Linked DNA regions of Ovis aries. The protein of the gene in region 2 purifies or fractionates together with the protein of the main gene of each other region. This does not show direct contact. Links are inferred from orthologs where the notes say so. Each region holds a gene or a part of one and is shown on either strand. Other genes may lie near its edges.

The links. Proteins that work in one complex are often made in the same cells at the same time.
Region 1: the proteins of DHX9 (region 2) and PRMT1 purify together in Homo sapiens (affinity purification with mass spectrometry; 3 studies listed by BioGRID and IntAct, with this or other methods). This does not show direct contact. The link is inferred for Ovis aries from reciprocal best matches to the Homo sapiens genes DHX9 and PRMT1.
Region 3: the proteins of DHX9 (region 2) and RALY purify together in Homo sapiens (affinity purification with mass spectrometry; 3 studies listed by BioGRID and IntAct, with this or other methods). This does not show direct contact. The link is inferred for Ovis aries from reciprocal best matches to the Homo sapiens genes DHX9 and RALY.

What each region holds. Positions count from the first base shown.
Region 1 is NC_056067.1:55,814,014-55,818,842, reverse strand, and holds part of PRMT1 (protein arginine N-methyltransferase 1), read right to left. Parts: intron 4,828-4,829; exon of another isoform or gene 4,715-4,827; coding exon of another isoform or gene 4,712-4,714; intron 4,489-4,711; coding exon 4,387-4,488; intron 3,621-4,386; coding exon 3,465-3,620; intron 3,321-3,464; coding exon 3,257-3,320; intron 1,519-3,256; coding exon 1,376-1,518; intron 628-1,375; coding exon 540-627; intron 452-539; coding exon 336-451; intron 1-335. UniProt on the Homo sapiens protein: Arginine methyltransferase that methylates (mono and asymmetric dimethylation) the guanidino nitrogens of arginyl residues present in proteins such as ESR1, histone H2, H3 and H4, FMR1, ILF3, HNRNPA1, HNRNPD, NFATC2IP, SUPT5H, TAF15, EWS, HABP4, SERBP1, RBM15, FOXO1, CHTOP, MAP3K5/ASK1, MICU1 and NPRL2.
Region 2 is NC_056065.1:63,347,554-63,352,382, reverse strand, and holds part of DHX9 (ATP-dependent RNA helicase A), read right to left. Parts: intron 4,043-4,829; 5' UTR 4,021-4,042; coding exon 3,910-4,020; intron 3,113-3,909; coding exon 2,972-3,112; intron 1-2,971. UniProt on the Homo sapiens protein: Multifunctional ATP-dependent nucleic acid helicase that unwinds DNA and RNA in a 3' to 5' direction and that plays important roles in many processes, such as DNA replication, transcriptional activation, post-transcriptional RNA regulation, mRNA translation and RNA-mediated gene silencing.
Region 3 is NC_056066.1:63,432,779-63,437,607, reverse strand, and holds part of RALY (RNA-binding protein Raly), read right to left. Parts: 5' UTR 3,484-4,829; coding exon 3,361-3,483; intron 1-3,360. UniProt on the Homo sapiens protein: RNA-binding protein that acts as a transcriptional cofactor for cholesterol biosynthetic genes in the liver. Binds the lipid-responsive non-coding RNA LeXis and is required for LeXis-mediated effect on cholesterogenesis.

The DNA.
Region 1 (4,829 bases), on a different chromosome or scaffold from region 2:
TGCGTAAAATCCTTTGACTGCTCAGGGTAAAACTGGGGGTCCTGCCTCAGGCCACGGAGGCTTGCCCAGTCAGGGCGTCTGTACCCCGCCACCGATCTCCATCCACAAACTCCCTCCTCCACCCAGTTTGGCCTGCCTCCCTTATCCTTGTGAGAGTTGATACCGGGGGTTGAGAAGGGGAACCTCAAAAAATGATGGCTGTCGGTATTATCCCACATGTGTATATAAGCTCCCGAGACCTCAAACAAGCAAGCATTCATGGTCCCACGTAGGGGCCAGGTGCTGGCTCTTCTTGGGTTGACCCTGAGCGACTCCCAGCCACCCTACCCGCTCACCTTGATGAGGCAGGCATTGGTGACCAGCTGCTTGGGGTCCACCACATCCACCAGGGGCTCCTTGATGGCCACGTCTTTGATGCAAGACATGTCGAAGCCGTACACATTCTCCCACCCTGGGGAGGAGGCGGGGAGGAGGGTGAGCCCAGGGGTAGCTGGCACCCAGCCGCCCCCGCCCGTAAGCTCCCCGGGCCGCGAGCTCACAGTGGATCTTGTAGTCTTTGTACTGCCGGTCCTCGATGGCCGTCACGTACAGCGTGGCTCGGTCTGGGAAGATGAGGCCGTCGGGTGCCTACGGGGAGCAGGGCAAGGGCGTGAAGGATGGGGGACTGGGCAAGGTTGCCCCATTTTGTTTATTTATCCACCCCTGACACCACCCTGGTCTGAGCTCAGCACTTCCCAGGTGGGCTCCTGTCTCGGCCTCCTCACTGGTGCCCAGCCTCAGTCTACTCCCCAGATAGCTGCCTGATGGCTCTGAGGAGCATCTAAGTCAGATCTCGTCCTAACCTCGCCCCTCTGAGGAGTAAGGCAAAGTCTTACACATCCACGAGGTCCCATGAGACCTGCACAGGCCCACCCCCGCCCCTCACCTCCAACTTCCTTCCCGATCCGTGTTCTGCTGCAGGTTCCCTACAAGTTCCCTACACAGCGAACTCGCTGCTGCCCCAGGACCTTTGCACTGGCCGAAATCCTCTGTTAAGTGTGCCTTGCCCCTCAGATCCCATGTGGCTCCTCCCCGTCCGGGGTTCAGGTCTCGGTCAGCTCCCTGGGAGGCCTGCTCTGACAGCACCTGGGTCCACAGTCCCTCCTAATCCCTCTGGCCTGCTGTGGTTCTTTTCCAGCACCATCTCCCTGTCCCTGTCTAGCTTCCGGTACTGGGCCCCCTCCATCTTGCCCGTGGGCCTCCTAACATCCATGTAGATGTCTTCCAAGCCCTGTACTCAGTCCCCGTGGTGGGAAGTACGGAGCACAGCTTCCCTTTTCTGCCTGGACCCCCACACCGGCCTGCACGAGCCGCTCCCGCCCCGCTGGGGCCTCACCAGCCACTTGTCCCGGGCGTAGAGCACGGTGTTGAGCATCGACTCGTAGAAGAGGCAGTAGCCCATCCACTCACTGATAATGATGTCTACCTTCTCCACCGGGAGCTCCACCTCCTCCACCTTCCCCTTGATGATGGTCACCACTGCGGGGCAGACAAGGGCACATGCCACCAGCCCTGAGGACAGCCGTCTGCCTGCCTCCCCTGGGGGCCTGGGGACCCCACCGGGACAGCCTTGTCTTCTCAAGGAAGGGCTGGGGGCTGTGTTGGGGCATCTTTAAAGAACTCTGTGAGCTGAAGTCACACCCTGTCAACTTAAGTTTTTAAAATTCATTCATCAAGGGGTATTTCTGAGGCAGGAACAGAACTTGACATGAATCAGGTATGAGGTGACATTGAGATTTTGCCATTAGCAGGCAGGACCAGGGCCCGGTGCAGACAGCCCCTCACTCTAGGACACAGAATGGGAAAGGCAGCCACCCCCTTACCCGTCACGCCTCGCACACTCATGGGGAACCTGGTGCCAAACCATTTGCAGATGACCTGCTTCTGGGTCAGGGTTTTGTACGGGGCAGAGCAGCTCCCTTCCTAAAATCTACTGGAAGTCAGCCTTGGGATTCCCTGGTGGTCCAGTGGCTAAGAGTCCATGCTCCCAGGACAGGGGACTGGGGTTCAACCCCTCATCAGGGAACTAGATCCCGCACGCTGCAACTAAGACCTGACGCAGCAAAGTAAAATTTTTTTTAAAAATGAGAGAGATTTTGCCACTAACAGCCACGGTCACGTTTTGTTTTTCTGTCTGCACTGTGTAGCTTGTGGGATCTTAGTTCCCTGACGGGGGATCGAAGTGGGGCCCTAGCAGTGAAAGCAGTCCTAACCACTGGGCTGCCGGGAAATTCCCGTGGTCATGCTTTTTTAAATATTTTTTAAAATCTATTAGATACACACATGGCAGGATTTATAGTCGGAATTTGCTTCAAAAGGAGGTATTTAAAGCTCAGTGATGGGAACTTAGGAATTCATTACACTAATTTCTTTTTCAAAAAAAACCCCTTCAGCTTCTAGAATGCCAAGGGCCCTCATATCAAAAAACCCACATGTTCCCATGTCCTCTGCCCCTCAAACCTTGCAGGTGGGAAGGGCAATGTGGCACCTTCTGCCCAACTTTCTTCCACTTTTGATCCATGCAACCCTACTTTTACAAACTGACCTCACAGATAACATTAGTTCATATATGATTGATGATGACATTACAGGTGGGGGATGAAAGTCTTGGAAGCTCAAATGCCCATGACCAGGAACTTGGTTAACAGACCTGGTGTATGTGAAAATAGAGGATGGCAGTCATCAAAAAGCAAGATCCTCTCAACATCCTATCAGGTGTTAAACTACATAATACACAGGTGAAAATCACAAAGGGCATGTATGAAACATTATCTGTGTCAAAAACCAGCATGTGAATGCAGAAACATACACACACGTTTGTTCATCGGTATGAACCTCTCTGGGAGAGAGAGCTGTCTGCACTTAGAGAAGAGTGGCTGAGAGGCGGGTGGCAGACTTCTTACTATGGGCCTCATGTGCCAACCACGTGACTCTATCACTCACTGAAAAAACTCAAGATTGCTTCTTGAAATTTTTGTTTTTTTAAATAAAAGACTGAAGCACTAAGCTTGTGACTTCGACATGCAGATTCTAAGACGGCTTGTCAGGAGGTAGGTTCTGAGAAGGCTGGATTTTTGGGCTGTCCGCAGCCCAGAGCCCACCGGGGGAGGAACGCCTGAATTTGACTTCTATGGCCTCCATTCCCTTGCCAGGGGCCCCGGGGAAGCTGGGATCCCCCGCTCCCTCCCCAAAGACCCCGTTCTCTTCCTGGGCTCACCATGGTCTAACTTGTTGGCTTTGACGATCTTCACCGCATAATCAGAGATACTGGAACACTCGATCTGGGGGCCCAGGAAGAAGGGAGGGTGAGACCCCCCCCCAAATGCCACCCTCCACCCCCACTCCCCTCCACCCAATCCCTGAGCCCCAAGGGGCCCCCTTTCCGTCCCTAGGCCCAGGCCTGGCCGGCCGCCGAGGACACTCACCCCGATGACCTTGCGGGCCCCAGCCTTGGCGGCAAACATGCAGAGGATCCCTGTGCCCGAGCCCACGTCCAGCACCACCTTGTCTTTGAAAAGGTGCCGGTTGTGAAACATGGAGTTGCGGTATGTGAGGGTGCGGACCTCATCTTTCAGCATTTCCTGGCAGGGGTGGGAACAAAGAGATCATGAGGGGACTGGCGTCCCCTGCTGAAAACCAGGGTGTCCTGGCCTCCAACACACTGATCAACTTGAAGACTGGCACTCAGTCCTCAAACCTGCTTTAGTCCCCTTAGGACAAGTTATTTCCCTTCCACACGCCTCAGTTTCCCTACGTGAAATTGGACTGGATGGACCAAAATCCCATCTTAGGCATTTTCTACCCTTGCCGACTAACCCCCTGTAAAGCCTTGCCTTTAAAAAGTCCTCAGTAAGCCAAAGCCATTAAACCGCCCACGTGAAAATGGTAAATTTTGTTATGCATATTTTATAACAATATTTTAAAAAAGGAAAGAGAAAAATCTTCCCACCCCATCCCTGCTGCTTTCTGGGACCTCAGCCTCCACCACACGCAAAAGGGGTGGAGAAGACTTTCGAGCCGCTGCCGGTCACTAGAGGGCGGCAAAGACCGGTAGGCCCTGACCTCGGGCTGACGTCTCAGATGCACATGCGTCTCAGATGCACATGCGATGCACATGCGCGCTCCCACCGCGGCCTCCCAGGAGAGGACTGGTAGAGCGCCAGGCTAACCCCGTCTCCCAGGCAACGGCTGCGCGAGGCGACCCGGAGTGTGAGCTCTGCCTGCGCAGAGGGGGTGGCCCGCTGCCAGGGAAGGCAGTGCGCATGCGTCAGAGATGAATCTCCAGCTCTCCCCAACATGACCCCCTGGAAGATTCGGCACCCTCAGGAGCTGTCTGTCCATACTCACCTCGTGGATGCCGAAGTGAGCATAGGAGTCAAAGTAGTAATCTTTGGACGTCATGTCCTCAGCGTTGGGCTTCTCGCTGCTTTCTGCCTGGCCACAGGAGACCTGGGAGGGGGTGAATGGGAGCAAACGGGGTCACATCTGGGGGCTCCCCAGAGATTCGGAAGCCTCCAGGCAGGTCTACGCCCCCATGGAGTATACAGAACCACTCCCCAAACCGTACCATGGCAACCCTACAGCCCCCACCTGCCGTCTTGCCTCGCCCAGGAACCCCCCACCCCCAGAGCACCATCCAGGAGGGCACCCCCGATACCTCAGCCAGGCCTACCATCTCTCCAGTCTGTCTGCCCCCGTCTCTAGCTCAGCCCACAGCTGGGGAAGGGAGGGGAGAGGAAGGCGGAAGCGGGGCAGACACAGGGAAGGACAAAGGTGGGGTGGGGGGCTGT
Region 2 (4,829 bases):
GAAAAGGCGCTAGCCTATTTGACGAATTGCAAGAAGGCCAGTGTAGAAGTGAGGGACAAAGTAGAAAATGCACAGTTGGAGCCTTACAGAAAAGATCTGAATGTGTTACAATTCTAACAAGAAAAAATTGAAAATAGGATACTATTTCTGGTATGGCACAGTAGCTCCTACTATACTAACTCCTGCAGGTAATATGAACTCCAGAAAAACAAAAACCCTAAAACTCTCCTCAGCTATACACAGGCACTAAAAAGTGAACAAAATCTTGCAAACTCTAGAAGGAACTTGAAATGAGAAAGCAAAAAATAGAAAGTATAATTCCAGCTTATTATGCCTTTTATTACTAGGAAGACCATCTCAGACAGCTAAAACTCAATAGAAAACCCAGTCTTTCTGGCCAGAAGTATCAAAGGATAAGAATTTGGGGACACCAAAGCTGCTAGAAAGTAAGAAAGAAATCCTGGAAAGGAAACAAAAGAGGAATCCCAAACTCTTGTGTATAAACTTTCCCCAAATCTCTGGCTAACCTTTAAACTATATATATGCAGAGGAGATTTCAAGCCTCCCAGCACAGGATCAGAAAACTGAAGTGAGATCTGAACTATCACTCAAAAGACAGTGCTGGCGCTTAAGTCCATCTCAATTAACTGCTTGACAACACAATGACAAAATACTCTTTGGAAGACTAACATCATTTAGTTTCCAAAATGTAATAGTCACAATGCCCAGAATATAATGCAAAACCATTTGACATACAAAGAGGAAAAATCTCAAAAGCACAATTGTTGTTGGGCATTCAGATGCAATTGGACCTAGACAGCAGTGGGAACCCGTCTTTCAAGATGGGAAAATGGCTTTACTGGCCTCCAACAGCTGTTTTATTAGATGCAATGAAGCAGGTGATATAGAAGCAAAAAGTAAAACGGCAGAAGAAATGATAAAGATCAGATCCTGCACCGAAAGAGAAACTAAGAAAAAAGATGCTATTCCAGAAGACAAAGGAAACGTCAAACAGTGTGAAATCAATTATGTAAAAAAAATTCCAGAGCTTCCAAGACCACAAGCTTAAAATAAGAAAGACGACAGAAAATTCTGAAAAAGGCCCGGAAAGATGGATTCTTGCATGAAACACTTCTGGACAGGAGAGCCAAAATTGAAAGCTGATAGATACTGCAAATCACCAGGATTTTGTTTCTTTTTTTCAATAATAAAACCAGTGTTTTTACAGGAAAAAAAAAGCACAATCAACAGAGCCCAACCCTGAGATGGCCCCGATGTTAGAATTAGCAGTTAAGAATTTTAAAGCAGCTATTGTAACTATGCTCAATGATATACAAGAAATTCAGTCGTATTATGAATGTATGCTTATACTGACTGGATGAAAAGAAATGCCACCAGAAAAACAAAACCTGTTTAAAAAAAAAAGGGGGGGGGGCAATAAACTTAGGGGGGGGAAAAGATAGTATCTGGCGGGCGGTGGGGGGAGGAACTGACAGAACCAACAAAGAAAATAATCAGTGAACTTGAAGATACTGATTATCTTTAACATATATATGAAATCATCCAATCTGAAAATCAGAGAAAGGAGGAGAAAAAGACGGTCCAGGACCTCCAAAATAGTTCCAAAAGGTTTCTTATATATGTTAACATGAAAGTCCCAGAAAAAGAAGAAAAAAAAATTAAGAAATATTTGGGGGAAAAAAAAATAGCCAAAAGTTTCCCATATTTGATGAAAGACATAAATTTACAGATTCAAGAATTTCAGCAAACTCCAAGCAGGATGAGTACAAAGAAAACATCACAGCCAAGCTACTGGAAACCAAAGAAAAAAACAAAGCAACCAAAGGAAACATATATAGGCAGAAATGATTGGATTACTGCCCACTTCTCATCAGACAACAACGGAAGTTAGACAACAGTGCAACATGATCTTTGAAGTCTTAGAAGAAAACCGGCACCTCAGAATTGCGTTGAATCTTCTATTCAAGGTAAAATAAAAACATTTTTACATAAAAGAGATGGAAGAGTTTGCCACCAACAGACCTAGGAAGAGGCTTAAAAATATAAAACCAAAACACACAACTAGAATAGGTCGTAACACATGGAACAAAGGCCAGTGGGTCAAATATCTGAAAAAGAATCAAGGTCGTCTTGTCCAATCTTTTCATTTTACAGATGGCTCAACCAAACTAATTAAAAATCTTGTAATTATATAGTGGTACACCATACTAGAAAGTAAACTCAATTCCTGGGTAAATGCAATGGAAAGGTAAAAAACATGTATTTTTACCTTTCTAAGCAAGTCAGAATACAAAAACCCATTGAAGGGTGCTGAAATTAATGTTATTCCTAAAGGTTTTATAAAAACTGGATCTTTCATGTAATACCTAAGGCATCTGCTTAAATCATAATGTGATTTTTTTCATAATACAACTTTCTAAAAACATCAGCAATACCACTATTTTTGTGAAAATTCAAACTTTCACTTTTTAGTTTATTTTTCAAAACTTTTGCTGCATACACACAATATAATTAAAAATAATTATGGTATAAAAAACACAAGAATGATATTCTACTGTACCAAATACTATTTTAACTCTGCTAAGAAAATGTCAATGGGAGCAAATGTATTTTAAAATGTTACTGATTTTTATATTCTGTTTAAAATGTTATTTTTGAAGTACACAGAATACAACAGACTCTGAAAAATCAGTTTTGAATGAATACAATATGTAAAACCCTAAGACATACCGACTAAAGGGAATCCCCAAGTCAGGTACATAATGAAAATGAAATCCAAATCTTTAGGAAATTATCCCAGTTCTCTGAGAAAACAAATCACCCCCAAGGTTCACTAAGGAACATATTAATATACTATTTAAAAACAACACTGAAAAACTATCACCCTGAGCCTCCATACATACTGGATTAGCATAATCTTATACGTCTCAAGTTGTTTGGCCATACTTACCCCAATAGCTGGGACTTCTTCACTCTTTAGTTCATTTATTCGAACCAAATAGTTAACAAAGTCTCTGGCAGCATTGCTCTGTGCATCTTTTTTATTGGTGGAATTACCCATGCCAGTGTAATTATATCCTTCCACTCGAACCTTCAAGAAAAAAATATATTGAGAGAGTGACCTGGGTAATTTTGGGATTTAAAAAATTCATACTTTACTAGACCATTAAGGGATTACAGTTAATTATTGGAGATATACTTTATAAACATAGTGAAAATAACATACCTAAGAGAATTCACATGCTATCTTATAAAAAAGTGCTTAATTCATACTGTCCAGTGATAAACTAATCCAAAAGCAAGAATGTTAACTTATGTGGCTCATATAATTTCTTCTAATACAACATTAAGTTCCACATTAAAATCTGATTTTACAAGACCAAAGAATAAACTAGCCGTACTTATTTTAAAGCTCTCTGATGTGAAGCAGTTAAGAATGCACCTACTTTCTACTGGAATTAGTAACTAACTACAGACAAAGTTAATCCAATTTTTCTAGTCTGCATTACTGGTAGTGCATAAAGTGTGAAAGACACATTGTTTTAATTAGAATAATTTACCTACCACGATGTTTTAAAAGTAACGCTCAGGGAATTCCCTGGCTGTCCAGTGGTTAGCACTCAGTGCTATCACTGCAGGGGACATCGGGTCCACCCTTGGTCAGGGAATTAAGATCCCCAAAGCTGTGTGGTGCAGCCAAAAGTTTTTTTTAAATGATTGATTTCATATCACTTGAAAATGATTTATAATGATAGAAATAGCAGGGAAGTCACAATAAAGGACATAATCCAATGTACAACACATTAACATTTCCAAACAGAAAACATTATTCTTTTAATAAAATAAGCCTTAAAGTCACATAAATGCAAAATGTATTTTTTTTAATACCTCACACATGAATTTCTGTCTGTTTTTGTTCCCCACTGCTCTGATTTCATATGCTGGGGTCATCTTCCTTTTGCCACACCAGGCATACAGGAAATTTTTAACATCACCCATGATTCAAGTGTCTTCTTCAGACCTAAGAAACAAGTTAGTTAAAAACAGCATTATTTATAAAAGTAAACAGTGGAAATTACCAATCTGGAAATATCCAATGGCTGAAATTTACTGAAAATCTATGTTAAGCACAGGATATTCTATCATGCTGCTATTAACATTGCCTATTAAGAAATGTTAATGATGAAACTGGACCATCTATCACATTTTGTTTAAAAAGAAGAAAAGCAGAATACTATAGTTTGTACTACGCAAGAAGTATGCATAAATAAATCAAGACTGGAAAACAACTATCCCCCACAAATGGTTATTTTTAGGTAACTATATGTGATTTTTACCTTTTCTTAAAAGAGACTTTATGTAATCTCCTTTTTACAAGAGGTACTTTATGTGTTTTATCTAATCCTCACAACTGTGGGAGGTACACATGATAGATCCTACTATATCACCGTTTTACAAGGGAAGAAACTTTGGCATAGATAGGTAACTTCCAAGTTATCCACTGTGGAGGCCCAAGTTCAAACCCAAACTACTATATTAAGAAATGGTCATCAATTATTTCGTATATAAATCCAATAGTTTACCCTCATTCGCACTGTCTCCTAGCAGACGGTCCTCAAAGCTGCAAGCAATATATTGTTAGTAAGTCCAAATACATAAATTAATCAGTACTTAAAATAATTAATGAACCTAAATATATTATACCAAATCTTTAGGCCTTGATATTCATTAAAATTTGGAAATATTACATCTTCTTGAAAAACAACATATTGCACTTGTTAGCATTCTCCCTCTACTCCCTCTATAAG
Region 3 (4,829 bases), on a different chromosome or scaffold from region 2:
AACCCAGATAATCATGATAGTATGATAACTCACCTAGAGTCAGACATCCTGGAATGTGAAATCAAGTGAGCCTTAAGAAGTATCATTATGAACAATGCTAGTGGAGATGACGGAATTCCAGTTGAGCTGTTTCAAATCCTAAAAGACGATGGTGTGATGCTGTGAAAATGCTGCACTCAATATGCCAGCAAATTTGGGAAACTCAGCAGTGGCCACAGGACTGGAAAAGGTCAGTTTTTATCCCAATCCCAAAGAAAGATGCAATGCCAAAGAATGCTCAAACTACCGCACAGTTGTACTCATCTCACACGCTAGTAACGTAACGCTCAAAATTCTCCAAGCAGGTTTCAACAGTACGTGAATCGTGAACTTACAAATGTTCAAGCTGGTTTTAGAAAAGGCAGAGGAACCAGAGATCAAATTGCCAACATCTGCTGGATCATCGAAAAAGCAAGAGAGTTCCAGAAAAACATCTATTTCTGCTTCATTGACTATGCCAAAGCCTTTGACTGTGTGGATCACAATCAACTGTGGAAAATTCTTCAAGAGATGGGAATCCCAGACCACTTGAACTTCCTCTTGAGAAATCTGTATGCACGTCAGGAAGCAACAGTTAGGACTAGACATGGCACAACAGACTGGTTCCAAATAGGAAAAGGAGTACGTCAAGGCTGTATATTGTCACCCTGCTTATTTAATGTATATGCAGAGTACATCATGAGAAACGCTGGGCTGGATGAAGCACAAGCTGGAATCAAGATTGCCAGGAGAAATATCAATAACCTCAGATATGCAGATGACACCACCCTTATGGCAGAAAGTGAAGAACAACTAAAGAGCCTCTTGATGAAAGTGAAAGAGGACAGTGAAAAAATTGGCTTAAAATTCAACATTCAGAAAACTAAGATCATGGCATCTGGTCCCATCACTTCATGGCAAATAGATAGGGAAACAGTGGCTGACTTTATTTTTCTGGGCTCCAAAATCACTGCAGATGGTGACTGCAGCCATGAAATTAAAAGACACTTACTCCTTGGAAGGAAAGTTATGACCAACCTAGACAGCATATTCAAAAGCAGAGACATTACTTTGCCAACAAAGGTCTGTCTAGTCAAGGCTATGGTTTTTCCAGTAGTCATGTATGGATGTGAGAGTTGGACTATAAAGAAAGCTGAGCACCAAAGAATTGATGCTTTTGAACTGTGGTGTTGGAGAAGACTCTTGAGAGTCCCTTGGACTGCAAGGAGATCCAACCAGTCAATCCTAAAGGAAATCAGTCCTGAGTACTCATTGGAAGGACTGATGTTGAAGCTGAAACTCCAATACTTTGGCTATCTGATGTGAAAAAAAAAACTGACTCATTTGAAAAGACCCTGATGCTGGGAAAAACTGAAGGCAGGAGAAGGGGATGACAGAGGATGAGATGATTGGATGGCATCACCGACTCAGTGGACATGAGTTTGAGTAAACTCCGGGAGTTGGCGATGGACAGAGAGGCCTGGTGTGCTGCAGGCCATGGGGTCGCAAAGAGTTGGACAGGACTGAGTGACTCAACTGAACTGAACTGAACACTGAGGAAACTTTTAAAGGGCACAAATAAGTACCCTTATTTGTAAGCGTACTTATTTGGTATCTGCCTTTAAGCCTTGTATCGTTGATGCAATCAAATTTCTGCTTAGAATCTCAGTCATTAACAGGAACTCCAAAGCCATCTGTCTCTGAAGACTGTGAGGTGGGCCATGGTCTCCTCTAGCTCTGTATCAGGCAAAATCTCCTAGGAAAGTAGAGAAAGCCTGGTTTTCCATGTATCACATCACCACCAACCAAACTGTCCACATCTTAGGCCTGCCCCAGCCAGCATGGGGGCACATACCCTTTGTCTGAGGGCAAGGGATCTCAGGCCCACCCACACAAATCTCAGGTGGTGGTGGGGCACCTGGGGCAGGCAGGATCCAGGGTGCCACGGGTCAAGCCCTAGACCCCTTCCTGCTGGTGGCACAACACTGTGGACCACTTGTCTCCTCCACTGTGTCTCAGTCAGGCCCTCCCTGAAGCTCCAGATAGTTCTCCAGAGACTACTACTGAGGAGCATGTGACAGTCCGCAGGTCAGTCATGCCTGAAGAAGAGTTTCATTTCGGATGCGAGTGCCTTAAAAAAGTGACTGAAGACTTGAGAAACTAGAAAAAGAACAAACTAAATCCAAAGCAAGCTAAAGTTAGGAAAAACAAATATTAAAGTAAGAGATCAGTGGAACAGAAAAACAATGAAACCAAAAGCTGGTTCTTTGAAAAAAATCAACAAAATTAAACCTTCGGTAAGGCTGACCAAGAGAAAAACAGAGAAAATACAAATTGCCAAAATCAGGAATGAAAAAAGGGTTATCACTACTCAAAGGGTTATCACTACTGACCTTCTAGAGTTAAAAAAGATTACAGGACAATACTATGAACAACTTTAAGCCACAAAATTAAACAACTTAGATGAAAGGGACAAATTCCTAGACACACACAAATTAACGACACAAAAGGAAAAAAAAAAAAAACAGTACATCTGAGTAGACCTACAATGAGAATTTTTGAATTAGTAATTAAGAATCTTCCAGCAGAGAAAAGTTCAAGTCCACATGGCTTGTTCTATCAAACATTTAAAAATGAAGACTTCCCTGGTTGTTCAGCGGTTAAGAATCTGCCTGTCAATGCAGGAAACTTGAGTTCAGTACCTGGTTCAGAAAGATTCCACATGCCTCAGGGCCACTAAGCCCATAAGCCTTAACTATTGAGCCCAGGTGCCTACAGCCCGTTCTCCAGAAGGAGAGAAGCCACCACAATGAGAAAGAAGCCCGTGCACCACAACTAGACAAAGACCAAGTGCACCAACAAAGACCCAGCGCAGCCAAAAATAATTAAAATAAGAAATACATTTCTAAAAAATTCAAAAAAGAAATCACAATCCTTCACAAACTCTCCCAGAAAACAGAGGGAAGACTCTCCAGCCTAAGAGACCAGTATTACCCTGACACCAAAACCAAAGATATAACAAGAAAACTATAGTGACTGACATCTCTCATGAATACAGGCAAAAATCTTCAACAAAATATTAGTAAACCAAATCAAGACCATACAAAAAGGATTATACACTATAGCCAAGTGGGATTCATTCTAGGAATGATGTTGGTTTAATATCCCAAAATCAATTATCATAGTGCCATGTTAGTAGAATAGAGGATAAAAAACCACACAAACAAACAAAATTCAACATCCATCCATAATAAAACCTCTGAATAAACTAGAAATAGAGAACTTACTTAGCCTTATAAATAGAAGTCTACCAAAAAGCCCTGCAGCAAACATCATACTTACTGGTATCACACTTAAGTACTCAGAAAGACTGAATCCATTCTCTTTAAAACTGGGAACAAGGTAAGAGTGTCTGTTTTCACCAATTCTGTTCAACATATTGGAGGTCCTGGCCGATACAATCATGCAGAGGGATTTTTTTTAAATGGATGTTAGATTATGTCATTCATCTACTCAAAAATATCCAGCGGCTTCCTATTTCGCTGAGAATAAAGCCCCACGTGATCCGAGTCCTTGTCTACCCTTGTGACTTCTCCATAATCCACTCCTCCTATTGCTCAATTCATCTCTAGCTACACTGGTCTCCTTTGTTCCTCAAAACATTAAGCATGCTCCTATTTCAGGGCCTCCAAAGTTACTGAACTCTATGCCTGGCATGTTATTCGCCAAGATATACACACAGCTCATACTACTTCATCTTGTACATATTTCTGTACAGATTTTAGTTTCTCATGGAGGCCTTCTTTCATCACATGGTCCCTCCCTATTCCCTTTTCCTGCTTTATTTTTCTTCATACATATTCATTTGTTTATATTCCACTAGAATTTAGGCTACAGGAGACAAAACTATTTTCACTGCTACATTTCAAACACTTAAAACTGTGCCTGGCACATAGTGGACACTCAGTAAATAGGCACTGAATGAATGGATATCTTTAAAAGGAAAAGACATTCATATTCAAGAGAATGAATAAAGGCAGGGTTGGGGCCGGTGGGGTGGGTGGAACCACTGTCCCAAGAGGCTGAGAAGGACTGGGGTTTTAGGCCTCGGCTGAAGAGTTAGTGTAGAATAATAGAAAAAACTTGGCTTTTTAGAGCCAGATTCTTTTAAATTCTAAGTTTATTAGCTCTTCCAGTCACTGCCTGTGTGTCCCTCTCTGCTGCTGCTGCTGCTAAGTCGCTTCAGTCGTGTTCGACTCTGCGACCCCACAGATGGCAGCCCACCAGGCTCCACCATCCCTGAGATTCTCCAGGCAAGAACACTGGAGCGGGTGTGTCCCTCTCTTAAGTCTCTATAATTTATAAAATGAGAATATCACCACCTACCTTTCAAGGTGTGATGAAAAGAAAATCAATTTATGTAGAGCATTCAATATAGCATCTGATACCACAGCAGACACTGCAAGTAATTAAACATTCTTTGATACTACTGGCCTTCAAGAACTACCTTAAAAATTACCTAGCCCTACCTTACTGAAGTGTACAGATGTCTACAGGGCTGTTGCCCTTAAAGTACAGCCTTCATACCCATTTGACTTTTCTGTCTTATCATTCTTCTTTTATATCTCCCTTACAGTTGGCTTTCAGCTCTCACCTCTGCTGCTAATATAGCAGCTCCTCCTCCCCTTTATATGCCCTGTTCTTAATCTTCTGGGGGTTTAGAAACCAGATTGTTAAGCTTGTTACAACAAAACATAAAAACAGGAATAAATTAGCACTGTGCAAGGTATTAAGGATAACAATGCTTTGCT